Macaca mulatta: one gene and its partners. The protein of the gene in region 1 interacts with the protein of each later gene in a pairwise test. Links are inferred from orthologs where the notes say so. Each region holds a gene or a part of one and is shown in the gene's direction. Other genes may lie near its edges. The genes, in order: GRN, ARFGAP1, C10H22orf39, NUFIP2, GLRX3, SMAD9 and NLK.

What was found.
Region 2: the proteins of GRN (region 1) and ARFGAP1 interact in binary tests that used the Homo sapiens proteins (3 or more experiments, as listed by UniProt). The two-hybrid records come from large-scale screens. The link is inferred for Macaca mulatta from reciprocal best matches to the Homo sapiens genes GRN and ARFGAP1.
Region 3: the proteins of GRN (region 1) and C10H22orf39 interact in binary tests that used the Homo sapiens proteins (3 or more experiments, as listed by UniProt). The link is inferred for Macaca mulatta from reciprocal best matches to the Homo sapiens genes GRN and C22orf39.
Region 4: the proteins of GRN (region 1) and NUFIP2 interact in binary tests that used the Homo sapiens proteins (3 or more experiments, as listed by UniProt). The link is inferred for Macaca mulatta from reciprocal best matches to the Homo sapiens genes GRN and NUFIP2.
Region 5: the proteins of GRN (region 1) and GLRX3 interact in binary tests that used the Homo sapiens proteins (3 or more experiments, as listed by UniProt). The link is inferred for Macaca mulatta from reciprocal best matches to the Homo sapiens genes GRN and GLRX3.
Region 6: the proteins of GRN (region 1) and SMAD9 interact in binary tests that used the Homo sapiens proteins (3 or more experiments, as listed by UniProt). The link is inferred for Macaca mulatta from reciprocal best matches to the Homo sapiens genes GRN and SMAD9.
Region 7: the proteins of GRN (region 1) and NLK interact in binary tests that used the Homo sapiens proteins (3 or more experiments, as listed by UniProt). The two-hybrid records come from large-scale screens. The link is inferred for Macaca mulatta from reciprocal best matches to the Homo sapiens genes GRN and NLK.

What each region holds. Positions count from the first base shown.
Region 1 is NC_133421.1:68,721,861-68,726,340, forward strand, and holds the start of GRN (progranulin), read left to right. Parts: upstream 1-1,438; 5' UTR 1,439-1,471; exon of another isoform or gene 1,472-1,743; intron 1,744-1,747; 5' UTR 1,748-1,879; intron 1,880-4,480. UniProt on the Homo sapiens protein: Secreted protein that acts as a key regulator of lysosomal function and as a growth factor involved in inflammation, wound healing and cell proliferation. Regulates protein trafficking to lysosomes, and also the activity of lysosomal enzymes.
Region 2 is NC_133415.1:116,138,132-116,142,110, forward strand, and holds part of ARFGAP1 (ADP-ribosylation factor GTPase-activating protein 1), read left to right. Parts: intron 1-69; coding exon 70-156; intron 157-733; coding exon 734-830; intron 831-3,219; coding exon 3,220-3,276; intron 3,277-3,979. UniProt on the Homo sapiens protein: GTPase-activating protein (GAP) for the ADP ribosylation factor 1 (ARF1). Involved in membrane trafficking and /or vesicle transport.
Region 3 is NC_133415.1:33,265,620-33,268,384, forward strand, and holds part of C10H22orf39 (synaptic plasticity regulator PANTS), read left to right. Parts: intron 1-511; coding exon 512-637; 3' UTR 638-2,765. UniProt on the Homo sapiens protein: Negatively regulates long-term potentiation and modulates adult synaptic plasticity. Stabilizes the interaction of RTN4 isoform A/Nogo-A with its receptors, inhibiting clustering of postsynaptic AMPA receptors at synaptic sites.
Region 4 is NC_133421.1:38,014,616-38,019,105, reverse strand, and holds the start of NUFIP2 (FMR1-interacting protein NUFIP2), read left to right. Parts: upstream 1-1,494; 5' UTR 1,495-1,508; coding exon 1,509-1,785; intron 1,786-4,490. UniProt on the Homo sapiens protein: Binds RNA.
Region 5 is NC_133414.1:142,216,107-142,219,827, forward strand, and holds part of GLRX3 (glutaredoxin-3), read left to right. Parts: intron 1-1,887; coding exon 1,888-1,927; intron 1,928-2,014; coding exon 2,015-2,107; intron 2,108-3,721. UniProt on the Homo sapiens protein: Together with BOLA2, acts as a cytosolic iron-sulfur (Fe-S) cluster assembly factor that facilitates [2Fe-2S] cluster insertion into a subset of cytosolic proteins.
Region 6 is NC_133422.1:16,483,416-16,487,394, reverse strand, and holds part of SMAD9 (mothers against decapentaplegic homolog 9), read left to right. Parts: intron 1-3,622; coding exon 3,623-3,880; intron 3,881-3,979. UniProt on the Homo sapiens protein: Transcriptional modulator activated by BMP (bone morphogenetic proteins) type 1 receptor kinase. SMAD9 is a receptor-regulated SMAD (R-SMAD).
Region 7 is NC_133421.1:36,729,638-36,734,399, forward strand, and holds the start of NLK (serine/threonine-protein kinase NLK), read left to right. Parts: upstream 1-1,762; 5' UTR 1,763-1,793; exon of another isoform or gene 1,794-1,985; 5' UTR 1,986-2,891; coding exon 2,892-3,349; intron 3,350-4,762. UniProt on the Homo sapiens protein: Serine/threonine-protein kinase that regulates a number of transcription factors with key roles in cell fate determination. Positive effector of the non-canonical Wnt signaling pathway, acting downstream of WNT5A, MAP3K7/TAK1 and HIPK2.

The sequences.
Region 1 (4,480 bases):
TTGGCACCGAGCAGCCTGACTCTCGTCACTGGCTAATGTGTTCTGTGGTACATTTTCTCTCCTCACCCTCCCATATCAATTCCTCGAAGGCAGGGCCAGGGGAGACTAGGAAGCCACTTCCCTTTCGACAGCCCCCGCCACAGCCCTGCCTGTGCCAGGCACCTAGCAGCTCCTGAAGCCCACTGGCATTGAACATGGCATTCAATCCCTGCCAAGCCTGCCCTTCCCATCTGGTTTCCCAGGGCTCTTCCCAACACACCTCCTCCACCTGCCAGTTAAAATCTTCCCAAACTCAGCTCAAGGAGATGCTTCTAAGGTGGAATGAAATATCTTCTTCCCCACCTGTAGACAATCTACTTCCTCTCCCCACACCTGGCAACTGGCGCACGACCTTGTATATTAAATTAGATTCAGCCTGAGACTGTCTCCCACCAATCCCTGCCCCCTGTCCTGCTGAGCACCTGGAGGAAAGGGCTTTTGGGCTGTTTATCTTTGTCCTGGAAACCATCCTTCAACTCACTCTGGGCCCTGCCTAGCATGTCATCCGAGTTTGCAGAATAGGGCAGGACAGGACAGGGCAGGATAGGATAGGATAGGAGCGAGTGAGCCCGGTAGCTCACACCTGTAATCCCAGTTCCTCGGGGGCCTGCGGTAGGAGAATCGCTTTGGGAGCAGGAGTTGCAGGCCGCAGTGAGCTATGATCAGCTTGGGCGACCAAGCGAGACCCTTTCTCTAAAACAAACACACAAGGTCGGGTGCGGTGGCTTAGGCCTGTAATCCCAGCGCTTTGGGAGGCCGAGGCGGGCGGATCACGAGGTCAAGAGATCAAGACCATCCTGGCCAACATGGTGAAACCCCGTCTCTACTAAAAATACAAAAATTAGCTGGACTTGGTGGCGCGCGCCTGTAGTCCCAACTACTCGGGAGACTGAGGCAGGAGAATCGCTTGAACCCGGGAGGCAGAGGTTGCAGTGAGCCGAGATCGTGCCACTGCACTCCAGCTTGGCGACAGAGTGAGACTCCATTTCAAAACAAACAAACAAACAAACAAAAGAATAGAAAGAGGAGCACAAATATTCCCAATTCATAACAGTCCCTCGCACTGTCAATGCCCCAGACACGCGCTATCATCTCTAGCAAACTCCCCCAGGCACCTGCAGGATGGGTGAAAGAAGGCGACGAGCACCAGCTGCCCTGCTGAGGCTGGCCCGGCGTCACATGATTCTCCAATCACATGATCCCTAGAAATGGGGTGTGGGGCGAGAGGAAGCGGGGAGGAGAGTGATTTGAGTAGAAAAGAAACACAGCATTCCAGGCTGGCCCCACCTCCACATTGATAAGTAGCCAATGGGAGTGCGGCAGCCCTGATCCCTGGCCAATGGAAACTGAGGTAGGCGGGTCACCGCGCTGGGATCTGTAGTCTGAGCGCTGCCCGGTTGCTGCTGCCCAGGGACCGCGGATCCGGACGCAGGTAGGAGGGCGGCCGCGCAGACCTCTGGCCTGCTCCTGCCCAGGGGCCCGGCCAGGGCCATGTGAGCTTGAGGTTCCCCGGGAGTCTCAGCCGGAGACAAGACAAGAACCGCTTATTGAAACTCCTTGGGGGTTCTGATACACTAGAGGGAGTTTTATGGGAAAGAGGAAGCAGTAACTGCAGTGACCTCTGTTAGAAGGGGGCTTTCTACCTCCCCAGCATTCCCCCAAAGCAGGGACCACACCATTCTTGACTCAGCTCCACCCCTGTCGGTAGGTGCCGGCTTCTTTCCCTCTCGTGGTGGTGGTGGGTGGTTCCCGCGGCGGCCTGAAGCCGGAGGGGCGCGCGACCCTGGGCTGGGAGCTCCGAGGGCCTGGGAACGGGACCTGAAACCTTGGCTTCTCGAAGGTAGTAGGGACTTGGGAGTGGTGACTGAACCTGGTCTGGCTCCTCCTTACTTCCTCTTTTTGGGGGTGGGACGAGCTAACTTCCGCCTCTCCCAGCCACTTTTTCCTGCTCAGTTGCAGCTAGGCTGGCTCCCCTTTTGGGAATTTCTTCTCCCCTTGGCACTCGGAGTTGGGGGCTGCCACCTAGTGGAAGATAACGGAGCTAGGGTCTTGAAGAGGCTGCTGTCCCCTCTGGCTGTTTTGGCGGTGTAGGGTGGCGTGAGAGACTGCGACTCGCCTCCTCATCCCTGTTTCTGTATGCGTGTGCATGTATTCAGTAGAAGCATACACTATACTCCCTCAACTCAGGGTAAACAGGAGGGGCCATGCACAGGTAACTCACCAGAGAGCTGAACACTCCTGTGCAGACAGACTCCCCTTCCCAGCAAGCCAGGGCAGCGGACAGCCTGCTGAGAACACGCAGGAAGTAGGCAGTGCCAGCTGCAGGTGTTTTGCCTGGGAGCTGTGGGGCTGAGGAGAGGGTCCACTGTCCAGGACCAGTCAACTGCATCCTTATCTGTCCAGGAGGTGGCCTCTTCGGGATGCTGAGTTAGGGGAGGGGCACTTGAGGAAAGCCAATTGGAGCAGAGAGGATGTGAGTGACTGAGTGGGTGACATTTCCTGCCCTTCCCCCCTCCAATGGTATCCACACATAGACTCGTGGGGGAACTGAGGCACAGACAGGGAGCAACTTCTCAGGCCCTCACAGTTGGCAATTCCAGGATTAGGACTCAAGTGCGATTTCCAGGCAGTCCCTGTTTCTGTCGTACCTGTTGCACCTATCCCCCTGGGGCGTAGGGGTCCATTCTCAGGCACTGCCCATTGTGCCACTAGTGATATTAACCCAGGTCCAATACGCTCTGGGGCCATCAAAGCCTGTCGTCACCATGACCTGATGTGTGACATGTTATCGGTGTCCCTTGGTATCTTCATGGAACTGGTTCCAGGACCCCAAAGTCTGTGGGTGCTCAAGTCCCTGATACAAAATGGTGTGATATTTGCATATAACCTATACATACTTTAAATCATTTCTAGATTACTTATGCCTAATACAATGGAAATGCCATGTTGGCTGGGCACGGTGGCTCATGCCTGTAATCCCCACACTTTGGGAGACTGTGGTGGGTGGATCACCTGAGGTCAGGAGTTCGAGACTGGCAGCCTGGCCAACATGGTGAAACCCCTATCTCTACTAAAAATACAAAAATTAGCCAGGTGTGGTAGCAGACTCAGGAGGCTGCTCAGGAAGCTGAGGCAGGAGAATTGCTTGAACCCGGGAGGCAGAGGTTGCAGTGAGCTGAGATTGCGCCACGGTACTACAGCCTGGGCGTCAGAGCAAGACTCCGTCTCAAAAAAAAAAAGAAAAAAAAAAAAGAAAAGAAAAAGAGTGCAGCACACCAACATGGCACAAGTATACATATATAACAAACCTGCACGTTATGCACATGTACCCTACAACTTAAAGTATAACAATAATAAATAAATTAAAAAAAAAAAAAGAAATGCCATGTAAATAGTTGTGATCCTGAATTGTTTAGGGAATAATAAGAAAGAACAATCTGTACATGTTCAGTATAGATGCACCCATCCTAAGCCTAACTACATAGTATACCTCAGCAACAATGTAACATTTTCTGGGGTTTTTGTTTTGTTTTGTGAGACGGAATCTCAGTCTCGCTCTATCACCCAGGCTGGAGTATGGTGGCACGATCTCCTCCACTCACTGCAACCCCCACCTCCTGGGCTCAAGCGTTTTCCTGCCTCAGCCTCTTGAGTAGCTGGGATTACAGGTGTGCACTACCACGCATGGCTAATTTTTGTATTTTTAGTAGAGATGGGGGTTTCACCATGTTGGTCAGGCTGGTCTCGAACTCCTGACCTCGTGATCCGCCCACTTAGGCCTCCCAAAGTGCTGGGATTAGAGGTGTGAGCCACCACACCCAATATTTTTTGATCTCTGGTTGGATACGGAGGGCTGACTGTACTTAACATCTCTGAGCTTCAGTTTCTTCCTTTGAAAGTAAAGGTGGCTGGGCGTGGTGGCTCACGCCTGTAATCCCAGCACTCTGGGAGGCCGAGGTGGGTGGATCACGAGGTCAGGAGATCGAGACCATCCTGGCTAACACAGTGAAACCCCGTCTCTACTAAAATACAAAAAATTAGCCAAGCGTGCTGGCAGGCGCCTGTAGTCTCAGCTACTCAGGAGGCTGAGGCAGGAGAATGGCGTGAACCCAGGAGGTGGAGCTTGCAGTGAGCTGAGATAGCACCACTGCACTCCAGCCTGGGAGACAGGGAGAGTCCGTCTCAAACAAACAAACAAAAAAGTAAAGGTGAGGCCAGGTGTGGTGACTCAAGCCTGTAATCCCAGCACTTAGGGAGGCTGAGGCGGGTGGATCACCTGAGGTCAGGAGTTCAAGACCAGCCTGACCAATATGGTGAAACCCCCTCTCTACTAAAAATACAAAAATTAGCCCAGCATGGTGGCGGGTGCCTGTAGTCCCAGCTACTCAGGAGGCTGAGACAGGAGGATCACTTGAACCTGGGAGGTGGAGGTTACAGTGAG
Region 2 (3,979 bases), on another chromosome or scaffold:
GGGTGCTGCTGGGGTTCCCTCAGACTTCACCCAGTTTTGACCTCACCAGCCTTTGATTCTTGGTTTCAGAGCCTCTGGCCAGCTGCAGAGTGTGACCGCCTCCTCGGACAAGGCTTTCGAAGACTGGCTGAATGATGACCTCGGCTCCTATCAAGGGTAAGGACTTGAGAGCTGGGGATGCCTGGGGAAGGCCAGACCCACGGGGTTCAGTCTGCTGGGTAGGGCTGCTTCCCTCGGGGCCTCCCGTGTGCAGTGGGTGTGGGACCCGTACGTGCCGGTGCAGGGTCTGACTGCAGTGAGCCCCGGCTGCCCACCCGGGTGTGGATTGGGGGTCTTGGGTGTAGAGAAGAGCTAACACTTAGAAGAAAAGCATAACACATTTTCTGCTTGGAATTTGCTGGACCTATACGTGAATTTTTATCCCCAAAGCTGTCATATTAAGTTGTTTTGATCCTTCTTCCAGTACTTCTATGACTGGGTTTGGGGACTTGCTGGGGACCCTCTCTGGTGATGTGGCAGGAGGGTCTTTTTAAATGAGCAGGAAGCACGTCTGTCTGCTGCTGGGGAGCTGCCAAGGCTCCTGCTGCTACGGGAGGCAGCGTGCATGTCCTGTGCTGGGGGACGCTGGCACATCCCTCAGAGCCTCAGCCTCACCTCTGTTCAGGGCCCCACACCTTCAGGAGGAGCAGGGTTCACGCCAGCATCTTCAGCCTCTTGTCCGCTTTGTTTTCAGAGCTCAGGGGAATCGCTACGTGGGGTTTGGGAACACGCCACCGCCTCAGAAGAAAGAAGATGACTTCCTCAACAACGCCATGTCCTCCCTGTACTCGGTGAGGACTTGTGGGCCCTGCAGAGCATCTCCCATGGGCAGACCCGGACTGAGGGCACGCCGGGCCGTCGGGGGCAGTGTGGCAGTCCTGGAACACGTGCTCTTGGCCTTGCTGTGATCTAAGGACCCCTCCCTTACCTTCAGTGACGTTTTCTTGCAAAAATGTGGCTTAAATTTTTCAGATCCCAAATTCAGTCACTTCTTTTTTTTTAAAAGACGGAGTCTTGCTTTGTTGCCCAGGCTGCAGACTGGAGTGCAGTGGCGCATTCTGGCTCACTGCAACCTCTGCCTCCCAGGTTCAAGTGATTCTCCTGCCTCAGCCTCCTGAGTAGCTGGGATTATAGGCACCCACTATCACGTCCAGCTAATTTTTGTATTTTTAGTAGAGATGGGGTTTCACCAGGTTGGCCAGGTTGGTTTCAAATTCCTGACTTCTGATGATCTGTCCACCTCAGCCTCCCAAGGTGCTGGGATGACAGGAGTGAGCCACCGCACCCAACCAACACTTACTTACTTCTGACACAAAATGTGTGTATTTCAAATCTAACAGCGGACGTTCTTCCAAGGAACCCAAGGGCTCTGACGGCAGCCACTTGGCCGTGTTCTCTGCAGAGGGAGTGCTGTGTGCAGTGGGAAGCTGGCTCTGTGCTTGGGGGTCTGGCCGTGCTGGGAAGCCGCTCGGGCGCTACCCGAGGTCACTCAGGGCCACCTCTGGTCTGGGGGTGCCTGGAAGCTCCAGGTCAGATGTTCAGAGTAGGACACCCTGGGCTTGTTGCCATTTTCCTATTAACGGAAATACATGTTGTTTGATTTTCATTTTCCAAGGAAATTTTTACCGTCTTTAAAATGATTAAAAATGATTAAAATGATTAAAAAATGATTCTTGCAGGTGTGATGGCTCACGCCTGTAATCCCAGTACTTTGAGAGGTGGAGGCGGGCGGATCACCTGAGGTCAGGAGTTCGAGACCAGCCTGGCCAACATGGCGAAACCTCGTCTCTATTAAAAAAATATAAAAATTAGCCAGGCAGGGTGGTATGTGCCTTGTAGCCCCAGCTACTAAGGAAGCTGAGGCAGGAGAATTGCTTGAACCTGGCAGGCAGAGGTTGCAGTGAGCCTAGATAGCACCATTGCACTCCAGCCTGGGCGACAGAGTACGACTCCGTGTCAAAAAAAAAGAAAGATTTTTATTCATCGCAGCATTATTGTCTGTGACACTAGCAACCTGAGACTCTGGCCACAGGGGCCGCGTGAATGGGAGCTTGCGCGGAGAGCCAAGGAAGGACTTGTTTATTTATTTATTTATTTATTTTGAGACGGGTCTTGCTCTGTTGCCAGGGCTGGAGTGCAGTGGCATATTTATAGCTCACTGCAGCCTTGAACCCTGGGTTCAAGCGATCCTTCCACCTGGGCCTCTTGAGTTGCTTAGCTTCCCAAAGTTCCAGTATTACAGGAACGAGCCACCATGCCTGGCCAGAAAGGATTTTTTAATACTAACATGACAAGATCTTCAAAGTATGTTAGCTAAAAATAAGCAGGTTTAAAACGGATGGCTTCATCTGCAAGGAGCCCTGCCATAGAGTCTTGGGAGCCCCCAGGTGTGTGTGGCTTCCAGTTGCTCGGGATGGCCTGGCTGCACCTCGGGCCACTGACGGCCATGGTTGCTTTCTCTTGCAGTCATTGCTGCATCGTTAGGAAAGAAAAGTGCATTTTCCAGCCTGTGTGTGGCCCTTTTGCTGCCTTTTGCTGGGCATCTGCTTTCTGGGGAAGGCAGTTCAGCTTAGTGATCTCTCAAGTGAGGGTCCCTTTGTGTTTCCTTTAGGAGGAAGAGGATGAGTTGTGATTGAAATGAGACATTTATTTTTCTAAATAGCTTTAATTATCTCGGGAGACTCAGGAGGAAACCCTGAGCATAGATGAAGGAGAGCAGGTTACGGCGGTCATGACCCCACACGCCTCACCTTTTTCTGTTCCTCTGGGGAGGCAGGAGGAAGCGCCAGCCGTGGGGAGGAGAGCAGGTTAGAGCAGGTTACAGCAGTTGTGACCCCACATGCCTCACCTCTGCCTGTTCCTCTAGGGAGGCAGGAGGGAGCGCTGGCCCTGGGGAGGGGTCCTGCCCTGCAGTGTGGGCTTGCTGCTTGAGGGTGGTGGGATCCACAGGAGGCTGGATTGCACCGTGTTGGGAGCACTGCAGTTGGCGAGGTTGGGGTAGAGGGCGCGTGTCCGTTGTGCCCTGGGTCCATTTGTACTGCTCCAGCAGCCTGGCGAAGCAGGCGCTGTGGGGTCAGGACAGGGCAGGGGCCTGGTCCTCGTCCTTGCTGAGATGCTCTGCTCAGCGCCGGGTTCCTGGGTCCCAGTCCTGATGCAGCTGCTCTTTGTCGCCTTCCTCAGGGCTGGAGCAGCTTCACCACTGGAGCCAGCCGGTTTGCCTCAGCAGCCAAGGAGGGCGTAAGTCACTGTCCCCACCAGGCCCTCAGGACACCGGCCGCTTGCTGGTCTGTGGGGGCCGCTGCCTCTCAGAGCGTAGGAGGGGGCTGTTCCCGCCACGTTGCTCCCCTCCTCATGCCAGGGTGGCTGCCTCATGTACCCGCTCAGGGCCTGCGGGGCCAAACTCATTTCCTGTTCACTGGTAACTGGTGCAGGTGTGCAGCCACTGCGCTGGCCACCTCGTTCTGGGAGCTGCAGAAGGGATGTGGGACACAGAGGGTTTCTGGGTGCTCCAACCATGGGCTGTGCCAACGCAGTACCAGCCAGGGTGGTCCCAAGGCCTTGGAGGTTCTGCAGGAACACAGCAGCCCAGGCTGTCAGGAGCCGCTCCTGTGTCAGACCAGCTGCTGGCAAAGGGGTCCCGCCCTGATGAAAGTGAGGGAGATGTGAGCCCCATTGATTCCTAGACTCCACCCTAACCAAGCAGGGCAGGTCTCGGGTGCCCTGTGCCCTAGAGCTTCTGGGGCTCAGGTCGTGTTTTGGTAGCATTTTCTCTCTTTCGCCGCTTCTCAACCTGAAACGGGAGGATTTGGGGCTTTCATCAGGGCAGACAGTGGAGCATTAGGCAGAGACCCAAGAGCAGGCCTGGCATCAGGATGGGGTGTGGGCCCCCGGGGGCTGGGCTGTGGTGTGAAAGGAGAAGGGGAAGCCCAGAGCAGGGCAG
Region 3 (2,765 bases), on another chromosome or scaffold:
AGCTGATGGGTTGAATGGCACTTGTGGCACCACTCAGGCAGGTGGTCTGTCCTCTGGACTCTTCCCACCCTTCCAGGATACCCTGGGCATGTATTTCTTCCCTGTCTTCCTCCCTTCTTCCCTACCACACTCCTCCCTGCAGCTCCCCACAGCTGCTGTCTCAGACTCTTCTCTCCTCTCCACTCCACCCCCAGGCTCACTCTCAGCAGGTGAATACGCCCCAGACTCACAAGGTCAGCCAGAGCCATTGAGCCCTGAGGTCCGGGAGAAGATATTTTAAAATTCCTCAAATTAGTATGACCTATTCAGTAGTTTTTCACAGTAGTTTGTGAGAACAAAATGATCTCAATCTCTGTGCGCTAATATGGAATACTCGCCAAGGTGGATGCAGCTGTGCTGCACAGTGGTGTGCACCATAGGCCCCTTCCTGTCCATCTGTGTTTTGGGGGGAGGTACAGGGGTCTTGAGGGTGCTCAGAGCCTGGGGAGTGACTAGAGTCTTATTTGCACAGCATTCCCTCTGTGAGAGCGAACGGGCACGAGTCCAGGCTGCACGGAAGCACATCCTGGTGTGGGCCCCGAGGCAGAGCCCCCCTCCAGACTGGCATCTCCCTCTGCCGCAGGAGAAGGACGAGTGACAAGCACCCCTGCCATTGGCCTGTGCAGCTTCCTTGGTCTGTTTCAAGTTGCTGTTGCAAAACCCTGGGGACTGTGACAGCCTACACAGTCTAGTGGGTCCCTGTGAGCTCTTGCTGGGTTTGGAACGTGGAGCAGGACATTGCTGGTCCTACTTGCCCACCCCTCACCAGCCTGCAGGGTACCCTGACGCTGCGATGTTCTGCAGGACAATTGCACCGCTTCAGAGCTTCCAGGAGGCTAAGCATTATGGCCAGGTACCTGTGAGCAGCCAGGTCAGGCTGGGCACAGTAGCATAGGAGATGGCGGTCCTGAGGTCTAGGCTTCTCAGGTAAACTGAAGGGTAGCCCTGACCTGTATGGACACACAGGTGGGTCATAATGAGGTAGCTAAACAGTTGCGCCACTGTGAATGTCTTTCCTAGTCCTTGGGAAACTGCCTGCTATGTCTCAGGTTTGGTGAACATTGTGAGTACTCACACTCTGCTCCACTCAGTTCCACTGCACATGCAGGCAGGTGTGCCGAGCAGGCAGGGCTTGCTGGCCCCTCTGCACCAGCAGGCTTCACTTGTTAGGCTCCCAGGTCGGCCCCTGGAGACTCTAGTTTTTAAGAAATGCACACAGCTACAGAACACACAACGTTGCATAAAGAGGGTTTGTGGACTCACCTTAAGAAATCCAAGTCCAAGACATGTGGAATTAAGGACTCCTTCCCTCAAAAAAATTTCCCCTGGTGGTTAATGTATCAAAAGCCATTTCATCTGATTTCAAATAGAAGCTGAAAATTAAGTTTACATTTGTTAGATTTTATATATAACAGTGTTGTCTGGACAGTGTTAGAAACTTGTATGCTTATTCTCTTGTAGGTGTTTTAAAATGTATGAACCACCAAAAACACTATTTCTCGAAGCAGTCTCTTTATTACTAATAGAATGGTTTCTCATCCTGTGGTGGCCCTGTTATGTGATGCTGAGGGCTAGGCTGGGTCTGTACCCAGCACCCTCCCTGCTCTCTTCCTGGACACAGGCAGCAAGTTGAATATCTTTAAATTTGTTCTTTGGGGTAGAACAATCCATCACTTCAGAAGGGTGTCCATTAAAGAACAGTATTTCCCTGCTTGAGTGTTTTCTCCTGTGCTCCCTAAGAGCCCCTGTCTGTGTCTGTGAACGGTGGGGGTGGGGGCTGTGTTCACAGGATCCCAAGAGCAGGAGCATCTACAGCGGAGCCAGCGTTCCCCCATCATCAGGGGAGTATTGATGTGTCTAAGGCAACCAAGGTGCCTCCAGCATGGCTGTGGCTGGATTAATGAGCATTTCCACCCAGTGAGGGAAAAGAAGAAGACTGCTAGAGATCTACAAGGTTTTTCTTACTCTTAAACACAGGGAAGGGGCATCTGAATTTGCAGTCTGCTGTAATCCCAGCACTTTGGGAGGCCAAGGCGGGTGGATCACTTGAGGTCAGAAGTTCGAAACCAACCTGGCCAACATGGTGAAACTCCATCTCTATTAAAAATACAAAACTTAGCTGGGCATGGTGGCATGCGCCTGTGATCCCAGCTACTCAGGAAGCTAAGACACGAGAATCGCTTGAACCCCAGAGGCAGAGGTTGCAGTGAGCTGAGATCGTGCCACTGCACTCCAGCCTAGGCAACAGAGTAAGACTCCGTCTCAAAAATAAAATAATAAAATGAATTGGCAGTCTGCATGTGATGCCTGGGATTGCAGCAGCTGCCTTCAGGTTCATGGGGCAGAGCTGGAGAGTGCAGCAAAAGCCAGGGCATGCCAGCCAGCACCCCAGTCCATGAGGGGCCTTCCCTCAGTGCAGCCATGCTCCCTGCCACCTGCTTGTTTAGCAAGGTATGCAGTGTGCGACTGCATGCTCGGTTAGGAAGCATTGAGTCCTGCCTCTGTAGTGCAACTGTCATATTTTGCCTCCTCCTTCACTACTCAAGTTCCACATCAGCAGATAATCTCTCTGGACAGGATGTTCCTGCATTTGTTGCTATGGCAATTCCTTCACAACATCTGAGTGTCCACATGTTGGACAGGGTTTGGGGCTTACAAGACCACAGTTTCGAAACAGACAAGTTGTCTTCAAAGAGTTTCTGTTGTTGTTTGGGGAAAAGACAGAC
Region 4 (4,490 bases), about 31 Mb from region 1:
AAAAAGACAAATACGGTACAATCCCACTTAAATGAGGTACCTAGAATAGTCAAATTAGTAGAGACAGAAAACAGAACAGTGGTTATCAAGGGATAGAAGGAGGAGGGAAAGGACAGTATTTTTATTGGGTATGAAGTTTCAGTTTGGAATGATGAAAAAGTTCTGGAGATGGATGATGGTCATGGTTCTACAACAATATGAATGTACCTAATGCTCCTGAACTGTACACTTAATATTAAGATGGTAAGTTTTATATTATGAATATTTTACAATTAAAAAAATCCCCAATCTATAACATACATTGAGAAAAGTACATTTTACCTGTATATTGTTTAACAAATAATCACCACCAAATATATGTATAATCACCACCTAGCCCCCAAAATGAAATATTATCAGTAACCTGTGTCCCTCCCCATCACAACCCTCTTTTCCTGAGTAAGCACTATCATGGCTCTAACATTTGCTTTTGAAAATCATACTGTGATGTGGTAATGCAGGATAAGTTAAATCTACACTACAACACGCTACAGAATATTTCTTTAAATTTCATTTTTTCCATAAGTGCAAAAAAAATCCCACTTAATAACTTTTAAATGCTCTTTCTCCCCTTCCTTTGCTCTTGAAACTTCATATTCTAAAACCTATTTTGGTGCCATAGTTGACCTCACCTGCAGTTTAATTAAAAAAAAAAAAAAAAAAACCACAACCTTCAGTGTAGATTTTCATTCCTCCCGCTCCCCCTTGCCTCCAACTACAAAGAAACAATGATTTAAACCCTTTGTGCCCTTTTAGAAAATTACACAGATACCCCATTGTGGAACCCTATAATCCCTTCGTGGAAAGGAAGAGATTAGCATATGAATACAAAGCAAAATGAATCCAGAATACAAAATGATCTACTGGATTGTGAAGCTCTTGTATTCTTAAAAATGTATTTATTTCCTCTTTTTGTATTGCCCCTTTAGTGGTCTTAGGGTTAAGGGAATTGAGCTTCCCTTTCTGGTTACCCGGAAAAGGATTAACAACAAAAAACAACAAAAAACAAAAAAACCACCAGATTCTAATAGGTGCAAAACCAACAGATGGCTCCCAGCGCCAGTGGAATCGCCAGTGGAATCTGCTACCCTCGACATGAGCTTGCTTGCCGGCGAGGAGTGTAGAAAGTGCTGTTCGCAGACTGCGTGGTGAAGGAGAGAAAGCGACAGAAGAGAGAGCCATAGTGCTGACGTTGAAGGCCCGGCCCTGTGAGGTTGCACAGGGTAAGTGGCGTTGGCCAGGCGGCAGCGGCGAAGGGGAAGGAAAGAGGATTTGAGCTGGGGGCGGGGCTTGCGGTACAGCGTGGCTCCTGATTGTTGGAGCGCGGCTGCCAATCTCGCAGAATCGCTCGGTTAACCAGTGCGCTGGCGAGACGCGCTCAGATATACTGAGTGAGCCCTGAGAAGCAGTCTCAGATCCTGACGGTGCAGCAGCCCGCAGCCTCAGCCAGGGAGTCCCAGCCGCTTTCAATGGAGGAGAAGCCCGGCCAGCCACAGCCTCAGCACCATCACAGCCACCACCATCCGCACCATCACCCTCAGCAGCAGCAGCAGCAGCCGCACCACCACCACCATTATTATTTCTACAACCACAGCCACAACCACCACCACCACCATCATCACCAGCAGCCTCACCAATACCTGCAGCATGGAGCCGAGGGCAGCCCCAAGGCCCAGCCAAAGCCGCTGAAACATGAGCAGAAACACACCCTCCAGCAGCACCAGGAAACGCCGAAGAAGAAAACAGGTCTGGGAGGGAGGACGGGTGGGGGAAGGGGGTTGGGGGTGGAGGACAGGGGAGATGGGGGTGGGGCTGGATCCGAGAAGCGCGGACGGGGTCGGGATGTGTGTGTGTGTGTGTGCCCTCCGGCTCTGGGGATGCCCCTTTCATTCTAGGGCTCGGGCTGAGCAATGGGGTTTGCAGCGCCCTCCTTCCCACCAGCATGGGAGAGGCCCAGCCAGGCCAGCGTGACCTTCCCGGCCCCCGCCCCGGCTGAAGGGAGACCCACTGGGTCGGCCTTGCAAGTCCAACCTCGTTATTCTTTTCCATTCACCTCTCTGCGTCCCTGGAGTTACCTCAATATGGGGGCCCTGAGATGGGGTAAACCTACCCCCCAAAAAATCCCTCGAGGTGTAACTCAGGAAGGCCTAGCGAATCCCGCCTCGGATGGTGTCGCGAGACCCTTTTGCAGGCGGCCAGGGGTGGGTAGGTAGGCAGAGTTGAGGAAGTGCCCCTCACCCGCCACCCCAAGCCCACCTGTGGCCTTGGGGCTCCCCATCTTGTTGGGGGGGGCTGTTGGGACCCCTCATCTCACGGGTCGTTTCCACCACTAGACGCCTTTTTTGGGCGCCGGACCCCGCAGTCTTGTCCCGCGGCTCCTCCCAAGGCTGGTGCCCCGGGCCCGCTCCCCCCAGAGCCGGCGCGGCTGGAATGTTCTCTCCTCCTCGCGGGGCCGCTTCCTGTCCGCCATGTTGGAAGCCGATTCCTGTCACCGACTCCGGCCCACTGAGGAGCGGGGGGGAAGGGTGTCGAGGGCCACACGGCGCGTCGGAGCTGGGTGACCTGGGATCACCACCGGCCGCCGCCTCGCCCCCTGCACTGCGGGGGCGCCGTCGCCCCCCGCTCCGCGGCCGCCCCTCCCCCGTCACCGGCCGGGGTTGTGTAACCCGGTGGCGGCGCGAGGCCCCGGGCGGGTCCCTGGGGTGAGGGGCGGGGGCGGTTGGGGTGGGGGAGGGAAGCGGCCACGAGGGGAGCGGCCTGCGCAGGGCCCCGCGCGCCAGCGGCCGCGTTTCCCGCTCCCGGGTGCGGCGGGAGGCGCGGGCAGTCGGGGCGGGGAGCCGGCCTCGAAGCGGAGCTGAGGGGGAAGGAGGCCGCGGGCGGCGGCGGCGGCCGCGGCGCTCCTAGGGGCAGGAGGCCTGGGGGGGCGGCGGGGGGATTCATTTTGGGTAGAGGCGGTGCCTGAGGCCGGGTGGGGTACCCAGCGGGAACCCAGCTCCCCGGTCACGAGTTTCTCTGCCACAGGAACCTCGTCTCCTGCCAGGTTCGCTCACGACTCCGCCTCTGAGGCTTTCACTTGGGCCTTTTCCTTCTAGCAGCTCATTTTCTACAAAAAAAAAAAAAAAAAAAAAAAAAAAATTAACAAAAACCTTGTTCCATTCCCCTCCCCAGCCGGCACTTACCTTCTGAGCTTGGGTAGTGTCTTTGAGGTGAGAGATTTTTTAAAATGTTAGGATGAGGAACAGGGCGAGCTTTTTGACCCCCTTTCTTGTCCTTAAGGGTGAACCCAAGTGGCTCATCCATGAGGTTAGATTACTACCATCTTGCCTCGGATGAGGCTTCTCTCCATGTTAAAAAGAAAGGTGTTTTTTCGTATTTTAAAGTCGATATTGATCCCCAAACTAATATTAACAAACGAGAAATTGAGGGTAAAAGTCATGTAAGAAAGTATTTCACGAGAAGTAAGTTTAAAAGTTTATAACCCTCGCATATTTTGAAAAATAAGGGCTCTATATAAATCGAAGAGAAAGGAAGCATAAAGCGTATGTTAAACCCAGCGTATCAAATTTGATAGAAGGAATTGTTGAGAGCTGGAGAAAAACTAAGTGCTTTTTAAATTGCAGATTGTAACTTGAAGACTGAAATTAGAGTGTCAGATTTTCCATTTTGGGAGTTCGTTAGGGACCCGATGGTATGCAACAGAAGTGAACACGTAACACACGAGTTAGGTGTTTAATCCTAAAGATTTAGAGCAGTTTAAAAACTGTTAGGGACTACATAACTAGATTTTTTTAGCGTTAGATCTTGTTCAAAAGATGAGAAAATACTACCGTATTATGGCTGCATAAGGCAATATTACTGTTGAGACTGAAAAATTGTATTTCATCGGTCAGGTAAATATACTCTTGCAAGACTTCTCTCTACATGTAGAAGCAGCCCCTAAACCATTCAAGGTGGTATTCCTCCAAATATTTCTTATCTCGGAAGACGTGGATAAAGAGGAGGAAACTGGAATTAGGAGTTTTGACAGAGTATAAACAATTTGGGGCGAGTGTATGGTTTGGTCACAGTACTGTTGCTTTGACATGCATTATGCTAATAACTAAGAAAACATTACAATATTTTTGAAATTTATCTGTAACATGTTGAGGTAGGCTTTTGTAACCCATTACTCACAAACCTAAAGAGGAACAGTTTTTTTTGTTTATCCAGAAGAGGGCGCAAGAGAAGGCCAAATGTGTTGAGTAATTTGTTTCTAATTGAAAAGCTAGATTTATCAGGACTCAAGTTTTGCTGAGTCTTTTGGAAGTAGGATTAGTATGTATAAGCAGCCCTAAATAATAAAAGCGCTAGGAGTCCTTTAATTTCTTAAATTTATTCTATAATGTTTACATTTTTCTTAAATATCTAAGATATAAAAAAATTTCTTTCTGGCATACTTTATACATACCAAC
Region 5 (3,721 bases), on another chromosome or scaffold:
TTATAGAGGCAAGTACAGTGAGTGTATTGTGATGGTAACTTCCAGCCTGTTCCTTTCTTCACTCCTGCCCTGGGCCATACAGTGGGGGCTGGCTTGTTTTTGGTCATTTTGCTTTTTCTTTGTCAACCCTCTGCTGCAGCCCCACAGTGAGACACACACAGTCCATCCTTCCCTAAGCAGCACCAGGTTCCTCAGGTGTCTTCTGAGCCGACACACTGGGCCTGACCCAGCTCATGTCTGTGGTAGAACATCTTGGTAACTTGGCTTTCTGTCCCATATCTGTCTGATCTCCATTGTATTGAAAGCACCCTGTTGTCGCAGAGAGCAGGAGGCTACTTTGGGAGAGAATGACTCCCAGCTCTGGACTTGCTAAGCATGATTGGCTCTAGGATGAGTGAGGCCATCCAGGACCTCAGCTTCTTTTAACGTGAACAGACCATGCTCTTGTTTGGAGTCAAAGTATGTGGAGAAAACTCCTTTTTACTTTTTCTCATTTCTTATCTTTTCCTTTAGTAGCCAAAATACACATGCATGAGTGGCTGAGAACCAAGTGTATATTGAGGTTTGAAAGGTACCCTTTATGAATAACTCTTAGGAAGTGTATTGACTGTTAGGACGCCACATACATACACTTGGGCCCAGTGCTTCCTGGATCCTTTATGAATAGTTTTATAACTCATTGTTTTTATCACAGTATTAAGAGATCTGCCACCTTTAGTTAGTTCAGCTTGAACAAAGACTTACATTGGGTTTTTAAAAAAACATTAGGTTTACATTGGGGTCCTTTTTTGCTCTTCTTTCAAACATTCCTTTTTTGGTAATTGCTTCTGATTTATCCTGTCATTTAGTTTTTTTTTTTTTTTTTTTTTTTTTTTTTTTTTTACTGTTCCCTGCACCATAGACAGTTTCCTTGGGAACTTGTTTACTAAATAAACAAGATTTCCCTGTGATGGTTTCAGTTTTATGGAAAGTCTAGTTTTTTTTTACATGTAGCATTTTCTTTGACCACCTTTGGGAATTGCACCTGTACCCTCAGGCACCCTGCAAGGATTTAGGCATACATGCTTGCTAATACCTGACCACCTAACGGTGAAATCACTCTGAGTAGATACAGTTGGACATTCATGCAGTGATTTTTCTTTGTACGAGTAATGTTCATTGTACGGCATAAAGCCACAAAGCTTTCATTGGCCTTTTGTACATTAAAAACAGCGCCCTCTCTGAAATAAGTTTAAGTGTGGAAAGCATGTCTCCTGCTAAGGTGGAGGGAACTGGCAGCGTGGTTGTCATCTGGCTGCTGAGCCCTCCAGCCTCCGTCCACAAGCACTACTACTTCCTGCTCCACGGGCAGCTTCCAGGAGGTTAAGAAGCAGCAGCTGGGGGTGGATTAGATATTAGAAGTGGATGAGAGTGTTCAGTTAATGAAGGCTTGTGCAGATGGGGATGTGGGTCTGACCCAGGGGTTGGCAAGTTGCAGGTGGCTGCCCATTTTTGTAAATAAATTTATATTGGCACATAGCCACATCCCTTCATTTATATGTTGTCTGTGGCTGCTTTTGTGCTGCCCAGCAGAACTGAGCAGTTAAAACAGAGACTGGCCTCTAAAGCCTGAAGTGTTTACTGTCTCACTCTTTAAGAAGACGTTTCCCCATCCCTGGTCTAACCCAATATTGTCTGGAGAAAAATCTAGATAAAGTCGTATCTTGGAATGACTAATTCTGTGTAGTACCAGACAGATTAAGAAGTAAAATCATTTCCATTGGTCTGTAGTACATTTTGTTAGCAACAAAATAGTTTTCTTGATTATTTTAAAAACATCAAATGCATAGAGGTTTTACAATTTGATTTAACTGTATTTCCAGTTAAAATGTCTTCTCTTTCTTCCAGTGTTGAATATGAAACATTCGATATATTGGAGGATGAAGAAGTAAGTTCTGTGTCTGATGTTTCACCTTTGTCTTAGCTTTAATCATAAGGGCCTGACAGGATGGTTTCCGGACTCTTGTTTCTTTAGGTTCGGCAAGGATTAAAAGCCTACTCAAATTGGCCAACGTACCCTCAGCTGTATGTGAAAGGGGAGCTGGTGGGAGGATTGGATATCGTGAAGGTAAGTCAGTTCTTCTGCTCTTCTAAAGAACGGAGAAGACTTTGGTGTGTTTAAAAATGATTTCATATTGAATGGAAACTTGAGAGTTGTTTTTGACTCTTGTTTCCAGCCTGACTCTCAGGCATTTCTAGACCAGTATCACCGTTTCTGTGTGCATAAGTACCCTGCCATTCTCACTGTCCCCACCTGGCAGCCGGTTCTTACTTCCACACCTGAACTAGCCATTTCATCCCCTTTCTGTGGGGTGATCTTACCTGCCACTCAGGGTCCTTGTGAGATCCTGCTTCAGCTCCCAGCCAACAAATTATTTTTTCTTGCGTTACTCACCTGCCCTTGGGTGCATGGACCGACAGCAGTGTGAGGCCTATGGCCCAATGCTGCCCATCCTTGCCACAGAGGCTGAAGATCACTGCCCCTGGTCCCCCGAGAGAAAAAATGTAGGTCGCTTTTTGGTTTTCAGATGTTTGGAAATCTGTTATCTGTTAGATTGTAAGTGTTTTAGAGAAGACACCATTTCTTAGGTATCTTGAGTCCTTCCTGATGCTTTGTGTATTTTAGGAGTTCAGTAAATGGTTGTTGGATGAATAAGTGACTTTACTTCTTGCTTAAGTTTTAAATGGACATGACTTTGCTCATATTTAATATCTAGAATTTAGGGCAGGCCCACCAACTAGCACCTGTGTGCTCCATAGCTCTTTGATTAGCCCAAAACAGTAAACAGAAGCTGTAGCTTTAATATCTACCCACAGGCCCCACTGCACCCCAGGCCCACTGTGGGCATGGTGGTATCGAGGAGGGTGGTAGCCGGGTGGGTATAGAGAGGAGCTAGACAGGAATGTTGGGCAGGAATGCCAGGTTCTGCTCGGGGACAAGAACAAAACTGCCCCAAAAGGTGGGCTGCCGACTGCCCTCAGACCTTCCTCTTGCCTCAGTCCATTAGAGAATTTTCTGTGAGGTCAGATCTTCCGACTTTTTATGTGGAAAACAAATAGCAAGTAGTACTACTTCTAGTTATGTTGTAAAATAAATTTTTTTTTTTTTTTTGAGACGGAATTTCACTCTTGTTGCCCCGCTGGAGTGCAATGGTGCAATCTTGGCTCACTGCAGCCTTTGCCTCCCAGGTTCATGTGGTTCTCCTGCCTCAGCCTCCTGAGCAGCTGGGATTACAGGCGCACACCACCACGCCCCACTAATTTTTGTATTGTTAGTAGAGATGGGGTTTCACCATGTTGACCACGCTGGTCTTGAATTGCTGACCTCAGGTGATCCGCCCGCCTTGGCCTCCCAAAGTGCTGGGATTACAGGCGTGAGCCACCGCGCCCGGCCAAAATAAAAGTTCTTAACACATGCTTTTGTAAAGTGAAGCACTAGCGTACCACTGAAATGACATCAGCACTTTGGACCAATATGTTTTATAGAAACAAAGCTTGAGCTCCATTGACTGCAGAGGCTGTTTTTGTCCTGTGGTGGCCTCTGTTTTGTTTCCTGTGGAGTTCCAGGTTTGATCTCATACTTCTTCAACAAGCCAGTGAGACATTTTTCCTGGGGAACGGTCTCACTCCTGGAGGAAAAATGTTTAAGACTATAGCTCTTGTATAGCCCTGAAGCAGCAAA
Region 6 (3,979 bases), on another chromosome or scaffold:
AGCCCAGTTTAAAAAATTATTTAAAGAAATATGAACTATAAACTGTGAATGCTGTGAAAAATTTCTAAGCACTAATTTCTTCACAGATTGGTCCCCAACAGTTGTCCAAGGGTCCCCAGTCCTCAGACCACACTTTACCTGGCATGGGTCTGGTGGAAGCCATGCAAGACTGTTGTGGTACATGATGATTTTACTCCATTAGGCCAGAGGTTATTTCAGGAGTGTAATTTCTTTTTTATATAAAATATTCATATTATATCAAAACCACATGACTTTTTAAAAAAAGACAAAAGTGTTTTTTTCCAGCTCTGTTTTGCACCCCCATGTGCCCTGTAACTCCTTCCGCTGTTTCCTCCTGGGTAACACTGAGATGTAAAGATAGCATGGTATTTAAAAGTGGCATAAGATAGGAATAAGTGTCTATAAGCACACTGTCATATTTACAAGCAGCAGTTGAGATGTAGAAGTGGAATTAAGTAATTAGGGATAGCTGTGTTTTTGAGTGAAGGTATTTAAAAATATGATCTGTGCACATTTAAGGCAACTGAGCCAGTCAGGTCAAATCACAACTAGGATGAAACCATTAGTTTTCTTTGCAAACATCCACTGGCTTTGATTTTACTCAGATGGTAAAAATATATTATCAAGATAGTTGTTACAATAAAGGAAATATATCATTTATTTTCTCTTGGTGCCTCAGATCTACAGGCCATGAAGAAATAGAAGTCTCTACATTCAGATGGATAGGAGGCATTATATTTTTATCAGTGTTAGGAATACACCGTAGATATTTTACATTAAAACTGAAGTCACAGAGATTATTCAAATTCTTCTTCATAAAAAAGTGAGTGTTTATTTGAACATCGTTAACGTTTTGATGAAGGGTCATTGACAAAGAAGCCATACGCATTTGCTGTGTCAACTCCTCACTTCAGACTACTCATGAGGCACATAATCATTTTTTTCCTGCATAGTTGTGGAATATTAACACATTAAAGGAAATTTAATGGTTTATTATCCATGTCACTGTTTCATGGTGATGTTGAATGTTTATTCTCTGGTGTCATAGGCTACATACGTATACAAATACTAGCTTGTAAAAGGGGAAGAAATTATTTGTTTCTCTGCCACCCTCACTTGTAGCAATTTTAGTTTAAAACCTTTCATTTACCCTTTTGAGTTTATTTTCTGTCCATGTAACTGAAAATTATTGCTTGTTAAAAAAGAGAGAGATGTATGATGTCAAAGGCAGATGGCAGACTTTGGGGTTGTCACTGTTATTGTTATTGTCTGTTTATTCCAAAACATTTACCTGTTTTAAGACCTTATTTTTTAGAGCAGTTTTAGAACATTTGCTTTTTGTGAGTTTTTATTAATACTTGCCTGTGACTGACAAATCAATAGAGTGATTAGAACCAAGATCTGTCCTGTTTATACCCAGAGACAAACTGTTTTAAACAATTCTTGCTTAGTTCTTTTGTATTTCTTTCTATTATTACTAAGAATTATGACAGTAACTCTAGATAATACATGCTTACATATCTCTTTCCAAATTTGTGACCTTTAGATGTCATTGACTCTCTAACATAAAAGATGAGGATTTCACTCTTATTTATATTTATATGTATGTATATATACACACACACCTTTTTTTTTTTTTTTTTGGAGACGGAGTCTCTCTCTGTCGCCCAGGCTGGAGTGCAGTGGTGAGATCTTGGCTCACTGCAAGCTCCACCTCCCAGGTTCACACCATTCTCTTGCCTCAGCCTCCTGAGTAGCTAGGACTACAGGCAACCACCACCACACCCGGCTAATCTTTTGTATTTTCAGTAGAGACAGGGTTTCACCATATTAGCTAGGATGGTCTCGATCTCCTGACCTTGTGATCCGCCTGCCTTGGCCTCCCAAAGTGCTGGGATTACAGGCATGAGCCACCGCGCCTGGCCTCACACACTTGTATTTTAATCTTCTTCCTTCCTCCTCTTCTCAGTCCTTGATTTCTGTATTTTAGTTCATAGTTTGTATTTGTTTTTCGTTATTCCAGTGGTTTCCATTGTGGAATTTGGGGATAAGAATTATTTGTCCTCAGAAGGGTGTTGGTCCGTTGACTTCTAGTAGCCAGGGTAGGAGTGGGACGTTGAGGTCGGTTGATTCTCATTTCTTTGTAGGTGACTTTGTGGTGATCCTCTAGGAGCTTTTGGAATATTCCAGTTATCCCGCAATGTTTGAAATTCAAGATGGAAAGACTAGGTCGGGATCTTATTTTCATTAATTGAGCTCAGCGCACTCTGTGGCTCTTTTCAATATGAAGACATAGGTCCTTCGTAGCTCTTTGAAGTTTTCCTTTGTTATTTCTTAGGCCTCTTCCCCCTTGTGTTTTCTTTGCCTCTCTGTCTGGAACTTATGTTGGTTGCAGATGGCTCTCCAACAACATTTTTGGAGTAGCTACTTTATGCCAGGCATTGTAACCTTCTAGGAGTCGGTAGGACGTGAGGGCCTAGGCAAAACTTTCCCTTAAGAATTTGAATTTATTCTGAAATTTTGCATAGAATCAAAATCAAGAACTGTAACATTCTTTTTAAAAAATGAAATCCAAAAAAGCATAGTAAAATGAACAAACATCATTTATGTTTTCTTACTGCTGCTTACCTTTTTTTTTTTTTTTTTTTTTTTTTTGAGACAGAGTTTCACTCTTGTCACCCAGGCTGGAGTGCAATGATATGATCTTGGCTCACTGCAACTTCCACCTCCCAGATTCAAGCGATTCTCCTGCCTCAGCCACCTGAATAGCTGGGATTACAGGTTCCCGCCACCACACCCGGCTAATTGTTGTATTTTTAATAGAGACGGGGTTTCACCGTGTTGGCCAGGCTGGTCTCAAACTCCTGACCTCAGGTGATCTGGCCGCCTCGGCCTCCCAAAGTGCTGGGATTACAGGCGTGAGCCACTGTGTCCTGCTGCTGCTTATCTTTTACTTAGTCACTTTTATTATTATTCACCGTTTGTATTTTACTTAATAACTTTTAATTACTCACCTTGAAATCTTTCCATTAAGGACGCATAGAATGTTTTTATTTCAGCAGCACTACTGAACCTGAAATTGTGTCTGGTCATCTAAATAATTCAACATGATCTCTGGAGGAAAAATATTCTGGGCATCACTTAGGGTTTCATTGCAAGCAATAGAAATGGATTCTGCCTTGGGGGAAAAAAGACTCATTTGGCAGAATTAAAGAAAGATGTAACCATCAGTTCGCCAGAAGGCCAGGTATTAGGGCAGCTCTGGTCATTTCCAAGGTAGGAATAAATAGCAGGTCTCTTTAGATGCTGACACTGGAAAGATCCTTCTGCAAATATTTTTTGTGAACGATGACATTCTGCTTAAGATTCGGGTTACAAGGAGAAGACTGTTACCTTAGCTTACTCACGTGCTCGCTTCTTAGGTGGAGATGGGGACTGAATCGACAGTTTTATGATGAGCACAATGACTAATGGGAGTAGTTCTCAAGGGGCAAAAACAGCTCTATCATCAAAAAAATAGATAAGAACAGCAAGTATCCGCTCTGTTGTGTACTGATGAGCAATGTTCAATTCTAACTGCCCTGTTCCTTTCTGATCCTAGTGCTGCCTCCTGTGCTCGTGCCAAGACACAGTGAATATAACCCCCAGCTCAGCCTCCTGGCCAAGTTCCGCAGCGCCTCCCTGCACAGTGAGCCACTCATGCCACACAACGCCACCTATCCCGACTCTTTCCAGCAGCCTCCGTGCTCTGCACTCCCTCCCTCACCCAGCCACGCGTTCTCCCAGTCCCCGTGCACGGCCAGCTACCCTCACTCCCCAGGAAGTCCTTCTGAGCCAGAGAGTCCCTATCAACACTCAGGTCAGTAAGAACTATGGTCTCTGGGGAAATACGGGAAAATAAGCCCAACATGATGATTTGTGATGAACAGTCACAATGACAGTCATTGTAACTCTCATT
Region 7 (4,762 bases), about 32 Mb from region 1:
ACTTGATGATTCAGCTTGGGCAACATGGCAAAACCCCATCTCTACAAAAAAATACAAAAATTAGCCAGGTGTGGTGGTGTGTGCCTGCAGCTACTTGGGAGGCTGAGGTGGGAGGATCACCTGAGCCCAACAGGTAGAGGCTGCAGTGGGCTGTGATCACGCCACTGCACTCCAGCCTGGGCAACAGAGACCATGTCCCTTCACCAAAAAAAAAAAAAAAGAAAGAAAAAAAAAAGACTTGATGATTGATTGATTGGAAGGGACAACGTGGACAGGCAAAGGAGGAATTGAAGATGACCTCCAAGTTTCTGAGTAAACTATGCAGTTTCGGTAGGGATAAGGTTCTGTAAGCTTATTATTTCACATTTTAAAAGAAGGGTAAATTCAGATAAATCAAGTGATGTAAAGGAAAGATGCTATTTTAGTAAGATTTCAATGACAGAAACTTACTTGATAGAAAATATGGGAGAGGCTGGAGGCGGTGACTCACGCCTGTAATCCTAGCACTTTGGGAGGCCAAGGTGGGAGGTGGGAGGATCTCTTGAGCCTAGGAATTTGAGACCAACCTGGGCAACATATTGAGACTCTGTTTCTAAAAAATTAAAGAATCAGCCGGGCATGGTGGTGCACATCTGTAATCCCAGCTACTTGGGAAGCTGAGGCGGGAAGATTGCTTGAGCCAGGAGTTGGAGGCTGCAACGAGCTAGGACTGTGCCACTGCAGTCTAGCCTGGGTGACAGAACGTAACCCTGTTAAGAAAGAAAGATGGAAGAAAAGTATTATTTTTGTGGCCAAGTTTACTTTTTTGTTTTAATTTGCACCAACAACTTTATCATCTGTTGACAGTGGAGTTCTGAATGCTGGAGATTCCTCCTCTTTTTGCCAAGATCAGGATTAACCATGGAGAGGACCGGCCGTAGACTATGAACTGTCAGTCTACTGAATTTCTTTTGTGACTGTCTTCTTGTTGAGTGACCTTGGACCTTGACTTTCTGAAGCTCAGCATTCCCTTTTTCTTCCCCTATTTTTGCCCCACACTTTACATCTTAAGTGGTATATTAGACGGCTCGGGGATCGGTGGACCAGTGGTGATTTGGGGTCCGCCTTCTTCGTCTAGGTCCCGCCCACTTTGAGACCCCACCCCTTTCCTAAGCCCCGCCCCTGGAAGAGGTTGTCTCGATATGACAGCAAATTCTCCACAATCCTGTCCTAGAGGAGCTATAAAGGGTGGGACTTACATCAATCTTTTTTTCCATTTGTCAGGTCAAGTGTCTATCTGGCCCAGGTGCCCGCATACTTCATTTTCAACCCAAGGATTGGTTACTCTGTTCTTTGCCTCTGGCTCATGATTGGTTCTTTCATTCCGCCCCTCTCTTCCAGCTTTTGCAGGCGGGATTAGCACGCAGCTTCCTGCTCCTGCCAAAAAATAAATAAATAATAAAAGAAGAAAAAAGAGGAGAGAGGCGAAAGAAAAATGTCACAAAGATCTTTGCTTTTTCATTGGCTTTAAGCCGTGTCGGTCAAGCCAAACTCTGCCTTTGATTGGTCTTTCTATCTGCCCATCCCGGATCGGGGGCGGGATTTCCCCAGAAGACCCACACCTTGTTGCCACTGGCCGAACAGTGCGCCTGTCTGAAGCTCCTGGCCCAGGATTGGAGGCGGTAGCGGACAGGTGGGCGTGGATTGGCTAGGGCAGCCGGTCAGTGCAAGGCGGGGGCGGGGCCTCGGCGGCTGGTTGCGCGTGTCCGCCGCTGGCTCCGGTCTATCCGGCTTTGCTAGGGGAGGTGAGTCCGGCCGCGGCGGCACCGGCGGCTGAGGAGGCGGCGGCTGAGGAGAAAGCGGCCGCGGCGGCTGAGGAGAAAGCGGCCGCGGGGACGGAAGCCGGGTGGGGGGGAGGGGGGGAGACGGAGCAGCCTTGAGCCCTGAGGGGCCGTCGCGCGGGGGACCCACCCGCTCTCCCCCCCAACCCTCCTCAGCAGAAGCAGCCGGCGGCGGGGGCAGGAGTCAGCCCGCTTCCGACCGTACTCCGCCCGCCTCCCGGGGCTCCTATTCTTTGGCCCCGGGACCCTAACCTTCTCCCGGGGCGGTTCCCGCTGTCTAGGCGTCCGAGCGCTGCCCACATCTTTCATTCTTCCTTGCACCTCCTTCCCTTCACTTTTGCCCTACCTCTCTTTCTCCTCTCTGTCCTGCTGTCGCCTCCTCTCCTCACTCCAGCCTCCTTCCCTGGCTCATTCTGCCCAGGAAAGTTTAGAACCCCCGCCCCCCCCTCCCCAATCAGGTCAACCTGACTAGGAGTAGGGGGAGATGTAGGAAGGCCTGAGAGTTCGAGGGGGGGGGGACGCTGGAAGCTGGTTTCCCAGAAAATTTCCCCCCATCTTCTCCATTTAGGGTAGTGGGAATTTTTTTTAATCCTGTTTTTGAGGAGGTGGTAGGTGTTTAGAAAAGGATGTGGGAATGGAAGGGGTAGATGATTCAACCCTCTTTCAAGATTCCAAGGGTGGTGTGTTACCTGATCCTTTTCGTGTGTGGAGTTCAGGGGGTCGGGAGGTTTGGCCTTTATTCCCACATTCAAAGTTGGAACCTCCCCCAAATTAAGAATGGAGTTTTAGTACCCACTTGTGGCAGGAATCCTGGGGGGAAGGGGTCCTTTTTTCCTTTTTCTTTTCTTTTTTCCTTTTTTTTTTCCTTTTGGCAACCCACACCCTTCCACACACGCTCACCCCAAAATTAAACACCAAGATCCTCTAACTTGTTTGGATTGACTGATGAAGACATAAAGCCAGTTACGCTCTATGTTTTTTGAGGTGGAGTGAGTGGTTTTTCTTCATTTTTAAATGGCCAAATGACAGCTTGACCCAGTTTGCTTTCCAATCAAAGGGCATTTATTTTGAATGTCTCTTTGTGGCGCAAGAGCCAACGCAAAAATGATGGCGGCTTACAATGGCGGTACATCTGCAGCAGCAGCAGGTCACCACCACCACCATCACCACCACCTTCCACACCTCCCTCCTCCTCACCTGCACCACCACCACCACCCTCAACACCATCTTCATCCGGGGTCGGCTGCCGCTGTACACCCTGTACAGCAGCACACCTCTTCGGCAGCTGCGGCAGCCGCAGCAGCGGCTGCAGCTGCAGCCATGTTAAACCCTGGGCAACAACAGCCATATTTCCCATCACCGGCACCGGGGCAGGCTCCTGGACCAGCTGCAGCAGCCCCAGCTCAGGTACAGGCTGCCGCAGCTGCTACAGTTAAGGCGCACCATCATCAGCACTCGCATCATCCACAACAGCAGCTGGATATTGAGCCGGATAGACCTATTGGATATGGAGCCTTTGGTGTTGTCTGGTGAGTATCCAAAGAAAAACACAACCTCTCATGGTTTCTTCTGATGGTTGTGATTGGGTGAGTGCATCCCTCGTGGTTTTCTCCATGCTGACCAAGGTGGAGCAAGCTTCTCAACCCAACTGTAGGAAGCCACCTTCACTAAAGTGGTAATGCATTGGCTGTCTAGGCCTAATGCATTGGCTGTCTAGGCTCATGGCAAGTTTTGGTGGAGCACCTTCTCATGAGCAACACACATAAGTTTGCTGTCTACCAAACTTTTCTGTTAGAACCTAAGCAAGCCACTGAACACAGCATCAGTAGATGAATGTATGGAATACTAACTCCTACAAAGACCTTGGTCATTTCGTGTGTTTGATTTAGTTTGGATCGGTTGCCCAGTGGCATTAAGTGTTAGCAACTGATCCAAACTGAATTCCTTTATAATACTCTTGTCATTACGATATACTTTGCATAACTACTTTCCTATCCTTCTGTCTTTTCACTCCTTATTTTGTGATCTTGATCTCGAGAAGAAAGATAGGATTCATAGTTGAACCAGTTAAGATCATTGCTTGAGTGGTTTATTTTAAACCATGGAGCTACAGTTGGGAAGTATGTAGCTGTAGCCTTTTGATAAGAATGCATTAAATATAGCATCACACATGAGTACCACAAATGAGGTTAGTAGACTAGCTATGCAGTGGCCCACATTCAGTGTAATGTTTTAGTGTCATTTAGTGCCTCTTAAGTTCCTATTATCTGTTGGTCAGTTGCTGTAGTAGGAAATAATACTTTTTAAACAAATGACACTACTTTTGCTAGTGCTAGGACATTTGTAAAAGCCTAAGGGCTTCTTAAATATAACATTTTGGTCTATTTGGTCTAACCTTAAAAAGATTAGTAGTTTATAATAAAATATGTTTATTCCTGTCAAAACTAGAATGAACTGGGTTTTCTCCCAAGGACTAATGATTACACTTTGGATAGATGAATTGATATTTTCAGTGCATTCAAAAACTGATTCTTGTTACTGTCTAGAAAAGCCCCCATTACCATAGGAAAATGAACTCTTTGGAACTGGCCCGGTAAATATCTCCTTTCGTTATTGTTTTTGAGGCTAAAATTGATGGGCGCATCGTTTATGCATTTTAACTGGCCATCTTATTTATATTTCAGATTTGACAATCTAGGCTACTAAGTGATCTCATCCATTTTTTAAAAAAGCTAGTAGAGTCCAGTATTTTCTCAGCTAATCCCCAAGGAAGTTTCTGCTGCAGCGCAGCCCTTTCTCCAAAGTGTGTGGGATTCAAGGTGGGAAAGAGTATAGCTGGTAATGGTGCCTCGGTCATTCTGCTCAGGGACCCGCCTGTTCCTGCCTTCCTCTGTCCCTTCCACAGAGTATCTAAGAGGTTTAACTGTGAACTTCCTATTCTT